Schizosaccharomyces pombe: one gene and its partners. The gene in region 1 interacts genetically with each later gene. Each region holds a gene or a part of one and is shown on either strand. Other genes may lie near its edges.

Region 1 (4,968 bases):
CACCCGAACCTAGTCAACCCTCACCTTTGGTCAATCGTTTAAAGGCCAATGAAATGCACCCTGTTTCAGAAGAGCCCGAAGATAATAGAGAGGTGTATCGAAATGAGCACGGAGACCATTTCAACTTCAGAAGCATACCTGGTTTGCTGAAGCCATCTACTTATGGATCGTTTAAGCATCATGGTAAAACGTTTGTTACTCCACCCCATATCAAGAAACCAGAGATTCCGCTTAGAGTCAGTGGTCCGATTAAGGTTGAGGCCAAAGTTTGGCTTGCAAATGAGCGTACGTTTTTGAAGTGGCTTCATGTCGTGGTCTTGCTTGGTTCTCTTGCTCTTGCATTATATAATAGTGCTGGAGAAAGACTTGGTCAGGCTTTTGGAGTAGTTTATACTCTTTTAGCTATTTTCATTGGGTTCTATGCTTGGAAGCTTCATGCCAAGCGTTCTCAAATGATCAAGTCCCGCAGTCCTGCGCCAATGACTGATTATTGGGGCCCATTGATTGTAGGAACAGCTTTGGCTATTTCTCTTATTGTCAACATGTCATTTGCACTTAAGGATGCTGTTTATCAAAATCTCATTGAACCTGATCGTTTGCTTGTTAAATTGTTTACTTGAGAAGTTTCGATATCATTCAACATGGGATTTTTCCAACTTTTATTACACGTTGGATTTACTATTTAAATGCAATAAATTTTTAGAAAGCTAGAAGATAACATTTCAGTAAATTCTTGATTTAGATGCAATGTGAAGTTGAAAATTGCAATAAGATTGAAAACTTCATTTAGAGCAGGGCTCTTGGGTTATTATATTGGTTAATTGGTTTGGGGATATATGTTATCGGTTTTTACTAAAATTTGCACGGGTATTGCAAGTTTTTACGTGTCGATTTACTTTTTTTGCAAGGATTAAGAAAAGCTGGATTTGACCATATATTCATTACATTACAACACTGGGGTATATTAATACTGGGATATTAACGTCGGACATCCATTATAATTTCTATGGTTTAATTAATTTAATAGCAAAGAATAAATAATCAATTATTAATTATCCGCTAAGCATTGGATCTAATTGAGTAGAGTAAAATAACTAAAAACCCCTAAAATCCGTCTGATTAGGGAACTGATGGTTATCGGTTATTAGGTATAAAAATAACAATATCTACTGTAAATAGGAGAAACGAACGTTTTTAAAAGAGAGTTATTTCACATCTGTATTAATGAATTTTTTAATACAAATGCTGACTACATGATGCTTTTCATCTTTGGGAGGATAAAAAAACAAAAAGTGAACGAAGGAAGAAAAGAGGGACTTGAGGTATATACTACTGGTTATTGGCCAGATAAAACGATGGACACCGACTTCAAGACGAAATATCCAAAAAAAAAAAGAAAGGTTTTACCGAGATGCAAATGATTGTAAACAAAAAATTCAAAACACCTAGAAAAAAATAAATAATCCAACGAAAATGAAATCCGTGGTTTTTCGAAATTTTTAAATTTGATTATTTCCCTAACCCGCCAAAAGAGAAAAAGAGAGAAAAAATCTATTTTTTGAAAGGCCAGCAGGATTATGAACGATTCGCGAATTAGTCGTCAAAGAAACCTTCATCGTGAAAAGCTTTCCAAAGACGACTAGCTTTGTTCACATCGACACGACTAGCACGTTGAGCATCTGTTTTCCTAAAGCTTAGGCCTTGAGTACGGCGATTGTGCCACTCAGCAAAGATTCTACGCTTATTGTCAAGATAAACGAGACAAGGCAATCGAAGTGTTGCAGCCAACTGTAGCTCAGCAGGATGTAAAAGGTGTCTATTCTCATCATTGGAAAGATCAAGGGGAGGGCCCTTCCATTCGCTACGAAGGGGGCGAGGATGAGAACGTTTATCCAAAACAGACATATCAGGAGAATAATCAGGCAATAGCTCATATGGTGTATTGGCGACATCAATGGCCTGGGTGTTGGAGGAAAACTCCCTACTGGACTGCTTGAAACGCGTATTATGTTGAGGCATTCCAGGATGAACATCTCCTTTTGAATGCGGAGTTGAATGTCCCGAGTCCGGCGTATCAGGAGAACCTCTTTTACGGGTATTAGAAGCGTGCACATCCAGAAACGAGCTGGGTTGCCTTCTTGGACGTTTGGCAGCTGGAGTCGAAAACCTGTATGCTGGAGAATGACGCTGAAGCCATTGCCTTTCTCGGCGAAGCCAAATTTTAGGTGAATCTCGGTACAGATCGTAAACCTTGGAATGCAGTTGCGCAACAGGTGTTGCTGTCGGCTTTGGTTCCACAATAGAATCTTTTGGAGATTCAGGTATTGTAGAACACTTAGGTACATCAACAGTACTTGCAACTTTGTCATTTGGAATGGGAGAAGGCGGCGGAGATATTAGGTACTGATATGCCTTAATGGCTGCCGCACATGTGTCCTTCTCCACATTTCTAGGGATCGAATAAACAAGCGTTTGACTCGATTTCATCTTACCTTTTTCCTTGATAAAGTCGAGCAAGCTGTCGATAACCTTTTCAATTAAATCAAGTAGACTCTGAAATTACTCCAAATTGTTGTTTTTATGTACAATTCTTTTATGCAAAAGTCAAAAGAGCGACCGACTTTAGATGAAATTTACAGCCAACAGCAATTCCAAGTTTCACCTTATGCCAAACGATTGTTGGTGTTAGTAAAATCCCAAGGATGGATGGAACACATGTCGAAACCGGTAGGTAGGGTTAGGTTGTCAAAAAAACATGTTACTTGAATGGTAAATACAAAATGGAAAATAAATGCCATTTTGAAGAAAAAAATTATTTGCCATATTAATCAAGTGGGTTTCCCAAGTTTTTCTTTGCTCACAAGGGTTTCTGTTTCCAGTATTATGCGAAAAATCAATTCCAAAAAGGAAATACATCCCATCAAATATAATTAAGCCAAGCGAAATACTGATGGATAGGGGATTAAAAGTACCACATTAGATGTATGGGTATGAACTTTCTGTAGTGTTGGTTGATTTCTATTCTTGCTCATTTCCCAATGGAGTTCATATCGGTTCTTAAAGAGTTAGAGCTCGGCTAACTATGTTTATCAACAAAATAGGGAGTTTTGATGCAGCAACATTGGATTATTAGACTGCTTCTAATGAAACAATTCCTCCTTTGGTTTCCAGTGTAATGTCGCAATCCAAATCAAGGTTAAATATACTCATTACTATATTCTTAATATTTACAGCTTTGCCTTTCCAGCTGCTAGTTCCTAATGCACTCATATACGACATAATTGAAAATGCCAATTGTTTGATTTTATAAATGAAGAGAAATACATTTCTGTGTCCATTAGAGTAATTTCTCAATTGAAATATATCACTATTTTACTTGTTTATTTATTCATTCTTTATCGTTCAGATGTTCATTAATTAAAAAGCTAACTTTTTTATTGATGATCATTGTTTACAGTATGAGAAAAAAAAGTAAATTTGTAATAAATACTTTCGCAATATATCTTACAATAAGAGAAATGTACAAATAAATGATTTATAAATAAATTATACACATGTCTTTTTTACTCTTCTTTATAGGAAGCAGTTTCAGAGTACTTAAGAAACCTACTCACTTATTCTCTTCCATATACAGTACTTGTATATTTTCACTAGTTCACACATTTACTTGTCAGCAGTAAATTAATCAATTCACTCGTTTTTTTGTGCTGTTAAAATTTTGTGAACTATTAATATATATTTTATCTAATGATTTACAAAGTCTCTACCTTTAGCTTCCTATTTCTTTGTTGAATAAAACATATATCTGGCATGAGGCGACAGTTGTCGTTTCATGAATCTACAAAGAGATCATTAAAAAAGAAGAAAATAAGAAAGATTGAAAAACCTTCTCTAGTTTCAAAAACTTCACGCGACAAAAATGCTTCGATAACCGATATTCATGAAGAAGATATTGAAGCCTTTTCTGATGAAGAAAACAAAATTGTTCATCTCAATAATTTAAAAGAAGATCGATTTCAACGTAAGAAAATTTAAAAAGGTTCAAAAATTAACGGTGCGCATAGTTTGGTTTGAAAAATACATTCCTCAAAAAGCGGCTGATCTTGCCGTGCATAAAAGCAAAATAAGTGCAATTAAGCAATGGATGTTAACGGATTCTTTAGAAAGTGTATGTTAAATCTCCCCTAATTCTCTCAAAAATATTTCTTGGCTAACAAAATCATAGAGGTTACTTTTGATCTGTGGTCCTTCTGGTTGTGGAAAGAGTACCGCAGTTCAGGTCTTGGCTAAAGAATTAGGTTATAGTCTCATAGAATGGCTAAACCCTATGAACCTAAAAGAGCCTTCAAACCAAGAATCAGATACACTTTCGCTCACGGAAAAGTTTAGTAGATTTATGTCTTTATGCGAAACTTATCCAGAGTTAGAGCTTATGGATTCAAATAATATTCAAAAGCGTGGAAAAAATGCACAAGGAAAGAAAAAGTTTATTTTTTTGGATGAAATTCCTCACCTTTCTAAATTCAATGGCTCTCTTGATGCTTTTCGTAATGTCATTCGCACCGCATTGACATCGCGAGGCGCCTTTTCCATCATCATGGTTCTTACAGAAATACAGTTAAACAACTTGGAAGGTATTAATAGTCAAGATCGAAATTCCTTTAATAGCGTGCAGATAATGGGTAATGATCTACTTCAGGATCCACGTGTAACAGTTTTACAGTTTAATCCTATTGCGCCGACATACATGAAAAAATGCCTTGGCTCTATTCTACGTAAAGAGGGTGTTCCCAAGTCTCCAAAGTTGTTGAGTTTGGTGGAGAATATTTGTTCTGCCAGCGAAGGGGATTTGAGGAGTGCGATAAATTCCTTACAATTATCGATCTCTCAATCTTTTGAAAAGAAAGGAACAAAAAATATTAGAGAAGTAAAAGAGGGGAAAGGAAAGGGGAATGATTTTAGCTTAGA
Region 2 (3,655 bases), on another chromosome or scaffold:
ATTATTTGAAGTAGGAAAAGTCTAAAATAAACAGTCAAAAGATGACTATTCTAAGCGCAAGAAGCAGCAGATATTTATATACAATCAATCCGGATATCTGCTAACACTAAGCACCCCGGCTACCACCAAACCAAAGTCTGATTTCGGCACGACTACATTGGAATTAAAAAAAATGAATGAAGTTGCAAACCTGGTGTAGTTCGCTATTAGACTTTAAGATTTTGGACCCACAATTGTTAACTGAAATAACGATGCAAATTACGGACAAAGTGTTACAGTAATATTATGCGATTAATAATACAACGGTGTAATATAATGATATTATTATTACTGAACTTACAAAAATCTGATATTCCAATACTTAATAATTTAATAGAACTAAAGAACGAAGTTTCAGTTGGAAATGATTTTGCAGTCTTTTTGTTTTATATAAATTTATATTATATAATAGCAATGCCTACTCTCTGTGAAATGGAATTATAAATGATAATGTAATACAAAATGAATACTATTGTGTAAAGATGTGCAAACATTGTACGAGCTGCTACATAATATTGCATAATAAAGATATTTTTACATGTATATCACTAATAAGAAGTTGGGCATTGAAGAGTATTAGTCTGCTATCTTTGCAAATTGCTTCTAATATGTATATAAATAGCTTGGGAGAAAATTATTATTAATATTTAGTCTTTAGTAAGATCCAACAATTTAATTTATTAGAGCTACTTGTTTCATGCCGTTCTTAAATGTCCAGAAAAAAGATTTATTCATTCCAATAGAATAAATTAATATAATAAACAAGCATTCCCGCTATTCCAGCGTTAATATAATGGGTTTCATATGCATATTCAAAATGTATATAAAGGGTATACTAGCCACATTGTCATGTGCAGCCCTCGCTTAAGTAATAGCTTAAAACAACTGTGGGGTTATTGAAGAAATGAAAATGTTAAAAACGTAAAAGTTGTTTGTTTGTACGGTTGGACCCTCTAAACACTTTTTTCTATTCTGACATTTAATTAATTTTATGATGAAGATTTTTTTTATGTTCAGTAAGTAAAGCGATGCCTTATAACAATATTACAATGGTAATGGTATAAATAAAGATAAAAATTTTATAGCAATTGCAAGAATGAGTACTTTTGAAAACTCGGTTATTGGAGAATCAAGCTGAAGTGGTTGAAGCGAGCTAGTAATAACTCACTTTAAAGCATTTACCAATTGAAGTCTCACAAGCCTTTTGATATTTCGAAAAGGAAGGAATTATGCTAGGCACTCAGCATAAAAAGAACCATTTTATATGATAAAGGGCAAAGGGAAATTAATTTTCTCTCTATAATAGTAAGTATACTGTTGGATATTTATTCCAAAGGAAATATAGGCGGTGAATTCTACTTTTATCTTCTGATCTCTACGCTTTTATTATCAACCGTAAGAGTCTTTCTTTTATAGTAATAACAATCCAGTTAAAAAGGGATAAAAATACTTATCTTCCTTTTTATATATTACTAATCCTAAAAGAGCTTAGAAATAAGCAATTTTTTATTAACTAGTTCTTTATAAAAGCATATTTATAGAGAAAAGCATTTCATGAAATTATGCTATGTACAGCGAAATACGAAAATAAAATACCTCCTTTGACTAGAACTGTAAGCAACAAAGAGTAAACAATAAAAGCTTGTAGTCATTAGCAAATTAGATTTTTTTATCAGTAGTCTCGATATTAGATGAGATATGTTGACATAATCTGTTTGCCAGTTCTTTCTTTAAATGAGTTTTGTTTATAGAACCGTTTATTTCAACTCATCTTCCAATTTTTATTTTAACATATTTTATTAGCAAATGTAATCGTTGGTAAAATTCGCCTACAACGTCAACATTCAGTCAAAAAGCACACCTAACTACTCCCATCTCTATTACTCCCCGTTCATATTTTAACTTTTTAGAAAATGTCTTTGACATCCGTTTTATGGAATTTCGTCGCCAAACTTGCTGTGGACCATGGATTAAATACCAATCCTGATCAAGTCTTTCAAACCGTTGAAAATGTAGGCAAAAGTTTCGAAAAATATGAAACGTCTTTCCTAAAATCATTGTTCAATGGAAATCTAGGATTGAGCTTGCCCTCAGCTATTAATATCTTGACTTTGATTATAGTGTTATACTTCTCTTTGGTCATTGTAAATAAGACTACCAGTATTGCCCTTGCCCTCTTCAAAACACTTGCTGTAATTTCTTTTTTCTTACTAATCGGTTGTCTCTTTGCTTACTGGTTTATCAATAACGGATCTTTTTGAACATTGACTAGCAGCGTTATCTTCTTTGTTTTTTCAGATTACCGAGTACAAAGTGTTATGGATATGCTTTAAAAAATTTTATTTTAGTAATATATTTTTCATCTTTTTTGTTCCTCATTTCATTTATCATTCAAGATGGTTTCGACATTATTCTTGATTTTAGGACTGTATACGAAGAATGGCTAAAGGCCTGTAAAATATTTTTTAAATTAAAAGCATAGTATTGAGTACATTAAACATCTTAACAATTTGCGTTTGCAATATAAAACTTCAATTTCAATTAGTTACAGTTTTCAGAATTTATTTTTTTTTTGCAACAAAAATATTCAATTGACTTATCAGTGATATGAACGGAGTAATTCTATGAAATGTGAATATGAAAAGGAAGCCATCTCAAATAATACTTCTTATTTGCACAGCAGAAATTTGATTATTGCTTGGCTCAAGTACATGGTGAGTATGACATTATTATTGAGAACGACCTGGCATTTACATCCAATGTTTTCCTTCATCAGAGTTACGCAAACGCATAGACTCGATTTGGATGAAACCAGAGGTCCATGTAGGGTCAAATCCACCAAGCTCATCCATAGATGACAATTTCTCGTCATAAAGATGAGCAGTATCAGATTTACGACCGAGGACAGTGACATTGCCCTTGTAGACAGAAAGTTTAACTACACCGTTTACTACCTCTTGAGAAACGTTGTTAGCTGCTAAAAGCATACGAGTGCAGGGAGAGAAAAATTGTCCATTGTACAAAATTTTAGCGAGATTGAAAGTAACGAATTGGTCACGGAGAGCACGAACTTCACGTTCCATTGTTAAACCTTCCAAGTCCATATGAGCAGTACGCAAAATGGTTAAGCCAGGAGTTTCGTAACAACCACGACTCTTCAAACCAGAGAAACGGTTTTCAACAATATCGATACGACCAACACCGTTACGACGAGCGATAGCGTTCAATTGGTAGAAGATGGAAACGACTCCGCTAAAGGTACCATCCTTGCACTCTAATTTGGTGGGAGCACCCTTTTCAAAGTGAATGCTGAGCTCTTCAACCTCATCAGGAGCGTCTTTGGGATCAACGGTGAGCTTCCACATGTCCTTGGGAGGAGTCATACTGGGATCCTCGAGGATTCCAGCTTCATACGAGCAATGTACAATGTTTTCATCCATAGACCAAGGCTTTTTGGTGGTTTGAGTAACGGGAATGCCCTTAGCAGCAGCATATTCGAGCAAATCCTTACGACCGGCGAAGCGCTCGAAAAATACAGGCAAACGCCAAGGAGCAATGACTTGAACGTCTGGCTTCAAAGCGTAATATGCCAATTCGAAACGAACTTGATCGTTGC
Region 3 (4,125 bases), on another chromosome or scaffold:
AATGAGACTGATAGACAGATCTTCATTTTACTGCATAATGGCTGATTTCATAAATCTTTATCACGACTTTGAGTTATGGGAGCAAAAAATCAATTGCTTTTGTTTTTGCCAGTATCCTTTTCTTCTTTCAATGGGTGCTAAAATTAGTATTCTTCAGCTTGATGCTCGGAGAAAAATGGAGATTAAAGCAAGAGAAGCATTTTTCTCTTCAATTCTTTCCAAAATGAACGTTGAACCTTATTTGATGATTCGTGTTCGGCGAGATCGACTGTTAGAAGACAGCCTAAGGCAAATTAATGACAGAAATAAAGATTTTAGAAAGGCATTAAAAGTTGAGTTTTTAGGTGAAGAAGGAATCGATGCAGGAGGATTAAAGAGAGAATGGTTGCTGCTTTTAACGAGGAAAGTTTTTAGCCCTGAGTTTGGATTATTTGTGAACTGTGAAGAGTCTTCAAATTATCTATGGTTTAATTATTCACACAGGTCGAAAGAAATTGATTACTATCATATGTCAGGTATATTGATGGGAATTGCAATCCACAATTCAATAAATTTGGATGTACAGATGCCCAGAGCTTTCTATAAAAAACTTTTACAGTTACCTCTAAGTTTCAATGACTTGGATGATTTTCAGCCTAGTCTATATCGAGGATTAAAAGAGCTTTTACTATTTGAAGGAGATGTAAAAAATACTTACGGTCTTAATTTTACAATTAATCTCAAAGCTGTCGAGGGCTTTCGCACTGTTGAGTTGAAAGAAGGAGGCTCTGAATTGAGTGTTGATAATGAGAACAGAAAAGAATATGTTTTGAGGTATGTAGATTATCTCTTAAATACTACTGTAAAAAAACAATTTTCTGCTTTTTTCGATGGCTTTATGAAAGTATGTGGAGGTAACGCCATATCGTTGTTTCAAGACAATGAAATCAGCAAGTTGATCAGAGGAAGTGAAGAAGTTATTGACTGGGAGCTACTCAAAAATGTCTGCGTTTATGATTTTTATGACCAAAATGCGATTTCAAATTCTATATCTGAAAGTGAACCAAGTATGACTGCATCTAAATATCTCTGCCACTCTTTCGTATCAAAAAGAAAAATAATACTTTGGTTTTGGGATTTGATATCACACTATTCGCTAAAAATGCAAAAACTTTTTCTCATTTTCGTCACAGGAAGCGATCGCATTCCCGCTACTGGGGCACATAATTTTCAATTAAGAATCTCAGTTCTCGGACCTGACAGTGATCAACTTCCTATCTCTCATACTTGCTTCAATCACTTATGTATTTGGGAATACTCCAGTAGGGAAAAGTTAAAAAAAAAATTAGACACGGCGTTGCTTGAAACTAATGGGTTCAATATACGCTAGTGTTTACATCAGGGTTCGCAATTCCTTACCTTTTACTACTATATACATATATCTATTTATTTAAGATCTAAATTAAATTCAACATATTTTAAGGTCTACATTAGCACTAATGGACCTTTATAATTTATCATATAAAATGGGATCGTAAGCAAATCTTTACATAATTCAAATAAGGATGAATATAAAACGTGTCTCTATACAATTTGTTTTTCTTTTTTGAATTGCTGAAATATCTCTTCCATCCTGTCTTCATCAGAGTCATCATCATCATATTCTTCAGCTGAATTGCTTTCCTGTTGCCCCTTGCTTTCAGTTCGCTCTTCGTCAGTATTATCAGAAACATCGTCAGCGTATTCTGAGTTTATGGTTTGTTTATCATGAATGTAGATATCATCGTCTAAGTCAGAATCATCACCTATGAAAGGATCAACGAACTTATCAGATTCCAAATTATCATCACCGTCGTTCCTTTGTGAATGTACACATATCTGACATCGTGGATCCAGGACATGTCTTTGTGCCTTAGAGAATTCATTAATGCCCTTAGTTTGTTGACAAGCGGTACACCAAATTGAATCATGCTGTTTGGGCTGGCAGGTACGACATATCACTTTTGGGTCTGAAACGCTAACCGTTCTCCCACGAACAAATGTAAACGTTTTGCTCCATTGAGTTTTGCTGTAAGAGTCTATCCCTTTAACCTTTCTGCATCTCATACACATAATTAAACAATCATTATCATTTTTCCCTTTTGAATTCAATGTACCCCGGTATTTTTTAGCATGTAGTTTGCAATCCTTCGGATGCTTTTTAATTTTATATTTTCGACTCTTAAAATCCATATTTTTTTATTATTATTAATATGGTAACAATACTCTTATAAATGAATATATGTACTGAAATAATTTTAATTAGCTGCTGACGTTAGAAGCATTAAGTAGACAATACCTTTAATGAACAAAATGTGATAGCCTTGACAACCAAATAGAAGAAACATACAGGCTTAATCAGGATTTAGAAAAAAAAAACAGTAATACAAGCCGTCCTATCAATTGTCATTGAGATCTTTACGCTGATCAGGCTGTAAATGCATTAATATAAAATTTACTACCGTTCGGTTCGATTAATAGGTGAATCAATGATATTAAAGCAAAAAAGAATACATATATTTGTTGATTGCTTCATGTTCTATTGACAATGAAAATTGCACATATTCAAAGGGTTGTTTTCAAAATAAATACTGCTTCCCATTCTATTATTCTCGCCTTCAAGTTTTTGATTGCGAATTATTCTTTGAAAATAAACGGAATAATAAAACTTTAGATAGCCTACACTTTTCCTACCTTAAATGGAATTGTATGATTTGTAAAATCCCGAAGAATGTCAGAAGCTTCTAAACAAATTGGAAACTGGAATTTAATTTGCGCACTTCCTACTCCTGCTACTTTGTAAAAGTTAAAACCTCTTAATACCAGAGTTCTCTTTTCAATCATATCGTTAAAAAATTAATGTTTCTTGAGTAAATCTAAGGTCGTTTTAGCTGATTAGTATCTATCATGAGTGAAATTTCAAACCGTTTACAAATTTTATTAATTGATTGCTATGACTCATACACTTTTAACCTTTATGACTTACTTTACAAAGCAAGTGAAAATGCCTGTGTTATTGTTGTTCATTGGGATAAAATGAGTCCTGATTTATGGGAAGACATACTTCAATTTGATGCCATTGTCGTAGGACCGGGCCCTGGACATCCTGCCGAATATTCTTCTATTTTGAATCGTATTTGGCAATTAAATATCCCAGTAATGGGCATTTGTTTGGGGTTTCAGTCATTAGCTTTATACCACGGTGCCACTATAGAAAGAATGCCTAATCTTCCTTGGCATGGCCGTGTGTCATCTGTAACTACTTCAAAAACTTTCATTTTTGATGGAATTTCAGCGGTTAAAGGAATGCGTTACCACAGTTTGTACGCGAACAAAATTCCCATCGATTCTTTACAAATATTAGCTCAATCGGATGAAGATAACATAGTTATGTCTATTAAGGCTACAAAGTTTCCACATTTTGGAATACTTTATCATCCTGAAAGCGTTGGGTCATCAAAATCTTTGAAAATTTTCAAAAATTTCCTTTCTCTAGCAGATACTCCTAATATACAATGTGTCAATTCCTTTTCAAAATCAGCAAATGGTTTCTCGCATAATCTTAATCGGTATGATATTTCTCCGGCTGCATTCATTCTTAAAAGTGGTTCTCCCTCTCTTCAAATTCACAGTGTTGAAATCCCTTGGGTTGAACCACTAGCGTTAGCTGATTGTATTCAAAAAAGCGGGAATCCAATTTGCTTTTTAGATTCAGCGAAAAAACCTGGGAGATATTCTATACTTGGAATTTTAACAGGTCCTTTGGCACGAATTATACATTACGAGAAAGCAACGAATACTACTGAGATTAGAATTTGCAAGGATAATAGCTTTGTCCGTATAAACAACGATTTGTGGTCCACAGTGGCTGATTTCATGAATCAACATAAAGCAATTAAGCCAGATACCAATTTGCCATTTTACGGCGGAATTATGGGTATCATTGGTTACGAATGTAGTGATTTATCTACAAAGTCTGTTTCAAATGCCTCTTTTCCTTTGGACTTCCAACAAACCACAGTTGATGCCGAACTTGCTTTTGTTGATCGATCCTTTGTGTTCGACTTGGAGATTAAAAAATTATTCGTTCAGACTCTTACTCCTTTA
Region 4 (5,544 bases), on another chromosome or scaffold:
GGCCACTGGCACTGTTGTCGTCTCCGATACTGGAGATTTTGAATCGATCGCCAAATACAAACCCCAAGATGCCACCACAAACCCTTCTCTCATCTTGGCCGCTTCTAAGAAGCCCCAATATGCTGCTCTCGTCGACGCTGCTGTTGACTATGCCAAGGCAAAGGGTGGTTCCATCAACTCTCAAATTGAGATTGCTTTTGATCGTCTTTTGATCGAATTCGGTACCAAGATCCTCGCTATCGTCCCTGGCCGTGTCTCCACCGAAGTTGATGCTCGTTACTCTTTTGACACCCAAACTACTATCGAGAAGGCTCGTCACCTCATCAAGTTGTACGAAGCCGAGGGCATTGGTCGTGAGCGTGTTCTCATCAAGATTGCCTCCACCTATGAGGGTATCCAAGCTGCTAAGCAACTCGAGGAAGAGGGCATCCACTGCAACTTGACTCTCTTGTTCTCTTTTGTCCAAGCTGTTGCTTGCGCCGAGGCTAACGTTACCTTGATTTCTCCTTTCGTCGGTCGTATTCTCGATTTCTACAAGGCTAAGAATAACCGTGACTATACCGCTCAAGAAGACCCCGGTGTCGTCAGTGTCTCTAACATCTTCAACTACTACAAAAAATTCGGTTACAAGACCATTGTCATGGGTGCTTCTTTCCGTAACGTCGGTGAGATCAAGGAACTCGCTGGTGTTGACTTTTTGACCATCTCCCCCGCCCTTCTTGAGCAGCTCAACAACAGCACCGACGCTGTCCCCAAGAAGCTTGATGCCTCCAAGGCTTCCAGCCTCAATTTGGAGAAGGTTTCCTACCTTACTGATGAGCCCAAGTTCCGTTTCGACTTTAACAACGACGAAATGGCTGTAGTCAAGTTGTCCACTGGTATCGCTGCCTTTGCCAAGGATGCTGATACTCTTCGTACCATCTTGAAGGCTAAGCTTGAGGCCTAAATATTTTAGCTGCAACCAGTTAGGTATACCGATTTCTTTCATTTTGTTAGGAGTTTTTTAGCTTACTTTTTTTTACCCTTTTTACTGCTAGCATTCCGTATGTTGAGGTTTCCAGATTATGATTTTAAGGATGTTATGGCAGTCTTTTTTAACAAAACACAAAAAATAAATCGTACTTGCGAGCTATAAGTGTGACTAAGCCTTTAGGTTTGACGATTGTTATATAAATGAATATATATATTTTGTATATATGTATTGCGTATGTGGATGGACATATTTACTTGTATTTTGGAATAAAATATATGATGGATCTCAACTGCAAATGGTAGAATGTGGAATTAATTATTAGCAAACACATTTCAAAACTATTTAAGTATGTAATTGGAAGAGCGTAAAAATTTCGTTAATATTAATTAGTATATTACTTCCGTAACATAAGAAATTCACTTTGAAAAGAAGGATCCCATAAAATTGGGATGAAGATTGAATAGAAAATAAAAATATCGTAAAGATAGAAGAAAAAGAAAATTATATCCTGCTGTGAAATAAGTTATATAATGAGAGGAGTGATTGTTTAAACTAAAATAGTTTGTACGTCCAGCATCAACTTACGGTCTTCAGGAGGCCATTCCAAGCGTTTCCAAGTACGAACTGCGCGCTCAACCGGGTCCAACTCAAAAACCCTTGCACGACGAACGTAGCCACCATGTCCTCCATATCCGCCAAACCCAGCACCTCCAGCAAAGCAAAAGTATGTGTTATAATCTGGATGGATTCCACAGAAATCATTTACATGGTCATGTCCTGCAATAGCAAGAGGAATACGTAAACTTTTCAAAGCTTTCGCAGTATTTGGATCACAAATGGAATAAGAACAGGGCTCTCGAAATGCACCAACAAGGTCTTCAGTCTCGCAAAACTCCTTCAGAGGGATATGCAATACAGCCATTTGAATGGGCTCGTACTTGAAATCCGCAACTTTACTAGAAAGCCACTCCAGTTGATCCTCGGTAATAGCATCGTATCCAGGGCATAATCTTCGATTTGAAGTATCTCCCTTTGTATCTAAAACGTAAATGGCAAACTTTCGGGGACTATGTAAAACAAAGTTACCAACACCAGAGACATTTCCAATCAAACCCATACTACCAGGAATCTGACTCAAAATTTTGGCAAGCTCTTCCCTCGATAAATCTCCCAAATCATCGTGATTTCCGAAATTTACAGCAAATGGGACGTTGTAATCAACAAAAGGGGACACCGCTTTCATCAAAGAGCTTCTAGCGTCGCGTGACGTGTCGCCGTTAATTAAGTCCCCAGTCAAAAGGACAAAGTCCGGTTCCTCTAACTGTAATAATTCATTCACGAAAGCAGTAGTTTTTGCATCGGCCATACAATCCTCTGCAGTCTCATACGGATAAGGATCGCGACACGGTCTGTCAGAATTTGAATAGTGCAAATCAGAAAGCTGAAGAATCTTAATTGTCTTTTTTTCTTCGTCATCATAAGTAAGGGTTACGGATGAAAGCTCCTTTCTCTTAAGCGCTTCAATAGATGGCGTCGGAGGAGTTTCACAAGGTCTTTGCGTCAATAGGACCGGCTGTCCTAAATAAATAAAGTCATTTAGAACAGCAGACCAACCCTCTCGTAATTCAACAACATCCTCACCCAACAATGTATTAAATTCGCAAATATCACCATCCGTTCCATAACGAATTTGAATACCGTGCTTGTTACGCTTTTCCAGCTGTCGATCAACATATACCTGTTCAACTAAGACAGTCTCCCCAGGAATATACAGTGCTGGTCGTTTCACGTAAAGGTAGGCACGCTTCCAAGGAATTCGGGAACGGTACAGATTCCGACTAGTACGGGCCCATTTCCAAAATTCCAAAACGGGACGACAAAAGGGAGAAAAGGAAAAGCACTCGACCAGCCTTATATCTTCGATTGGAGTGTTCAGTGAGAAGGGTCCCGACTTTGAGTCAGTGATTTCAATGGTGTTGAGCGAATAATCAACAGTCAATAATGCTATGAAAGCCGCAACTATGAAGATTGCCCTTTTACGAAGGAAATGAATAATGTTTCTCTTTGGTAGCATCATTTTGCTTAGTCTTTGAACACGAGATTAGTAATTGTAGGAATGTATTTTTAACCGAAAAACGTCCCGCGAGAACTTTTTCTTTTACGGATCAAATATTTGACAAAGAAAAGCAATATTTATATAACAAATGTGCTTCAAATTAAAAGTTTTTATGAAAAACCTGTAGAATTGACTGAATTCATGAAAGCAAAAGGATTATGTGGATATTACGGTAATGTTTACATGGTAGAAGAAGGCTTTTCAAATTAAGATTCGAATGCGGAGCACAAGAACGAATCCGTTATCTATGCCTAGCGTAGTGCAGAATACTCACTTAAGAATCGCTTTCAAGAAACTTGCTTATCATAATACTTGAAGTTGGAAAGAGCTCGGTATGTGAAGAGATGAGCTTAACGTAGTTTAGCAGGTTCTCAGTTATTCTGAATGTCTATTAAAATTCAGCATTATAGCGACTTTTCTTGTGAGTGAAAACAAACGTTAAAGCTAGATGGCATTTCGGAAGAAGAAAATTGCATGGATAAGCTCTCAGATACTCATTGACATTAATATTTTCATCTCACTTATTTTTTAATTTCTAGCGGTGAGTGTTTATATGAGAGGTACGGCAGCTCTCAAAATCTTAACAACCATTTTGGATTATATTTTAAGCTCTAACTTTTTGTTAAGTATTATTTTCTGAGAAATTCTGCTTCATACTGTAGTGGTACGAGAAAACTCGCAAATGAAAACGAATATTTCAAGGTACTATAAATCTCGCTTAATTCAAGCTTAATTTGGCCGACATTTCACATGTTGTGGCCCATGAAACATGTGTCAATAGTTGTATAACTGTGTAAGGGTACTATTGCGTTAGTTTCTTACCTGATCTGAAAAGTTTTAAGCTGCCAGCAAGTCGATATATATAGAGGGTTTTGCGGATCTTGTTTTTTTCCGGCATAATTATTGTGCCGAACCACTAAGCCGAACCAAAGAGTAATTATCATAACGCAAACTCTTTCAAAATAAAGAACCCATTTATTCTTCAACTCAAAGTTCAAGCAGAATACCTTGAAGCTTGATAATTAACAAATTTCCAAGCTGAGACTCATTCTTCGTTTAACTAATCTCACATGATGTTTTCCTCATTATTTTGGTTTTGCATATTTTTTTGAAAACTCATTAAGTGTAAGCTACGCAGTTTGGTATCTGATTTAAGGATACGTAGAACTGCGGTGAGTTTTCCTTGTGATCTATTATATTACGATACACAGGTTGTATAAGTAGCAACTGAGTATAGGTATTGTATTAACTGGGTTATAATGTTACCTATCACTAATATAGCTCATAACTGAACTGAGGAACGAGGTTCAGCAGTAGCTCTATTTATAGTATTCAGATAATATTGATCTTAATAGATTATCATTAAGATCAATCTCCATATCGTATCATACATGGTACGATATATAATTAGAACATGTGACATATAGTGATACTCAACGTAGTGTATTATAGCGTAGTGTAGTATTGCTGACATTGCCCTCCCCAAGATTTTCTATGTAAATCTGAGGATAAGTCATATGTTCTCAGATATTTAGATTATTGTTTTTAATATAATCATTGACAATTGCTTTGTCCGCTTGTAGCGCTGTAGCTAATGTAGTCCATCCTGACATAATAGTACTCGGATTTAGATTCGAAATGTACTTGACATTTAAGTAGAGTACTTGTTCTCTGTTTTTATGTTCTAGGATATGAAGAATTGTTCCAATATCAGACTCATCAATGGTAGCGTAATTGAGTTCTGAATTATGTCGATACTTTTCTAGGTGAGAAACATGAAAAGTAGATGAAAACATGTGCTTGATTGAATCTGGAAGATCCAATTCATAGTTGTTTGGACCCGACTTCTGTAACACATAGAACGGTCCTGCAAAACTAGGTGCTAATTTATTGGATTTATGAAGAAAACCTGTTTTCGTTCTTTTGACCATAACTAGGTCTCCAGGTTGAAATTCTTCAATTTCTTGTATTTTCATATCGAAATACTTTTTCATCTTTATGTTGTTTGTATTCAAGTGTTCTTTAACTGTTTGAAATACTTGGATCGTTTCCTGAGAGTTTTCGTCAGTTTTGTCACTAAAGCTAGGTAACTCTAAAGGTGATAAAGCTGGTGAATAGCGATGTACTATCTCAAAAGGTGTCATTTGAGTTGCTGAATGTATCGCATTGTTGTAAGATTGTTGCACTAGGGATATATGATCTACCCATGTATTTGGATGTGTGCTACATACACATCTTAGTAATTTCTCCACAGTTTGGTTTGTACGCTCAGTTTGTCCATCAGTTTGTGGTCTGTATGGTAACGAAAATTTCATAACGAAATTATATTTATGTGCGAAATCTTTCCACGTTTGGGAAGTAAAAATATGATCATTATCTGCAATGATTTCTTTTGGATTGCCGAAATAAGCAATAACTCGTTGATCAAACATTCGAGCTGTTTGCTCTGCTGTAA

Evidence for each region.
Region 2: mutations in laf1 (region 1) and apq12 together harm fitness less than expected from each alone (positive genetic interaction), as found in Schizosaccharomyces pombe (one large-scale study listed by BioGRID).
Region 3: mutations in laf1 (region 1) and stc1 together harm fitness more than expected from each alone (negative genetic interaction), as found in Schizosaccharomyces pombe (one large-scale study listed by BioGRID).
Region 4: mutations in laf1 (region 1) and dcr2 together harm fitness less than expected from each alone (positive genetic interaction), as found in Schizosaccharomyces pombe (one large-scale study listed by BioGRID).

The regions. Positions count from the first base shown.
Region 1 is NC_003424.3:5,249,548-5,254,515, forward strand, and holds laf1 (clr6 L-associated factor 1 Laf1), read right to left. Parts: upstream 2,688-4,968; 5' UTR 2,488-2,687; coding exon 1,594-2,487; 3' UTR 973-1,593; downstream 1-972. Other genes in the region: vtc2 (polyphosphate synthetase), read left to right, coding at 1-620; RFC-like checkpoint protein Rad17, read left to right, coding at 3,811-4,021, 4,065-4,168, 4,226-4,968. UniProt on the Schizosaccharomyces pombe protein: Component of the RPD3C(L) histone deacetylase complex (HDAC) responsible for the deacetylation of lysine residues on the N-terminal part of the core histones (H2A, H2B, H3 and H4).
Region 2 is NC_003423.3:446,982-450,636, forward strand, and holds apq12 (nuclear membrane organization protein Apq12), read left to right. Parts: upstream 1-1,952; coding exon 1,953-2,300; 3' UTR 2,301-2,417; downstream 2,418-3,655. Other genes in the region: arg12 (argininosuccinate synthase), read right to left, coding at 2,790-3,655. UniProt on the Schizosaccharomyces pombe protein: Involved in the regulation of lipid homeostasis in the endoplasmic reticulum, thereby impacting nuclear pore complex biogenesis and localization, and nucleocytoplasmic mRNA transport.
Region 3 is NC_003423.3:3,689,638-3,693,762, forward strand, and holds stc1 (CLRC complex-Argonaute linker protein Stc1), read right to left. Parts: upstream 2,279-4,125; 5' UTR 2,212-2,278; coding exon 1,564-2,211; 3' UTR 1,371-1,563; downstream 1-1,370. Other genes in the region: mug30 (ubiquitin-protein ligase E3), read left to right, coding at 1-1,369; abz1 (para-aminobenzoate synthase), read left to right, coding at 2,926-4,125.
Region 4 is NC_003421.2:773,521-779,064, forward strand, and holds dcr2 (phosphoprotein phosphatase), read right to left. Parts: upstream 3,252-5,544; 5' UTR 3,051-3,251; coding exon 1,521-3,050; 3' UTR 1,270-1,520; downstream 1-1,269. Other genes in the region: tal1 (transaldolase), read left to right, coding at 1-946; Tf2-12 (retrotransposable element/transposon Tf2-type), read right to left, coding at 4,613-5,544.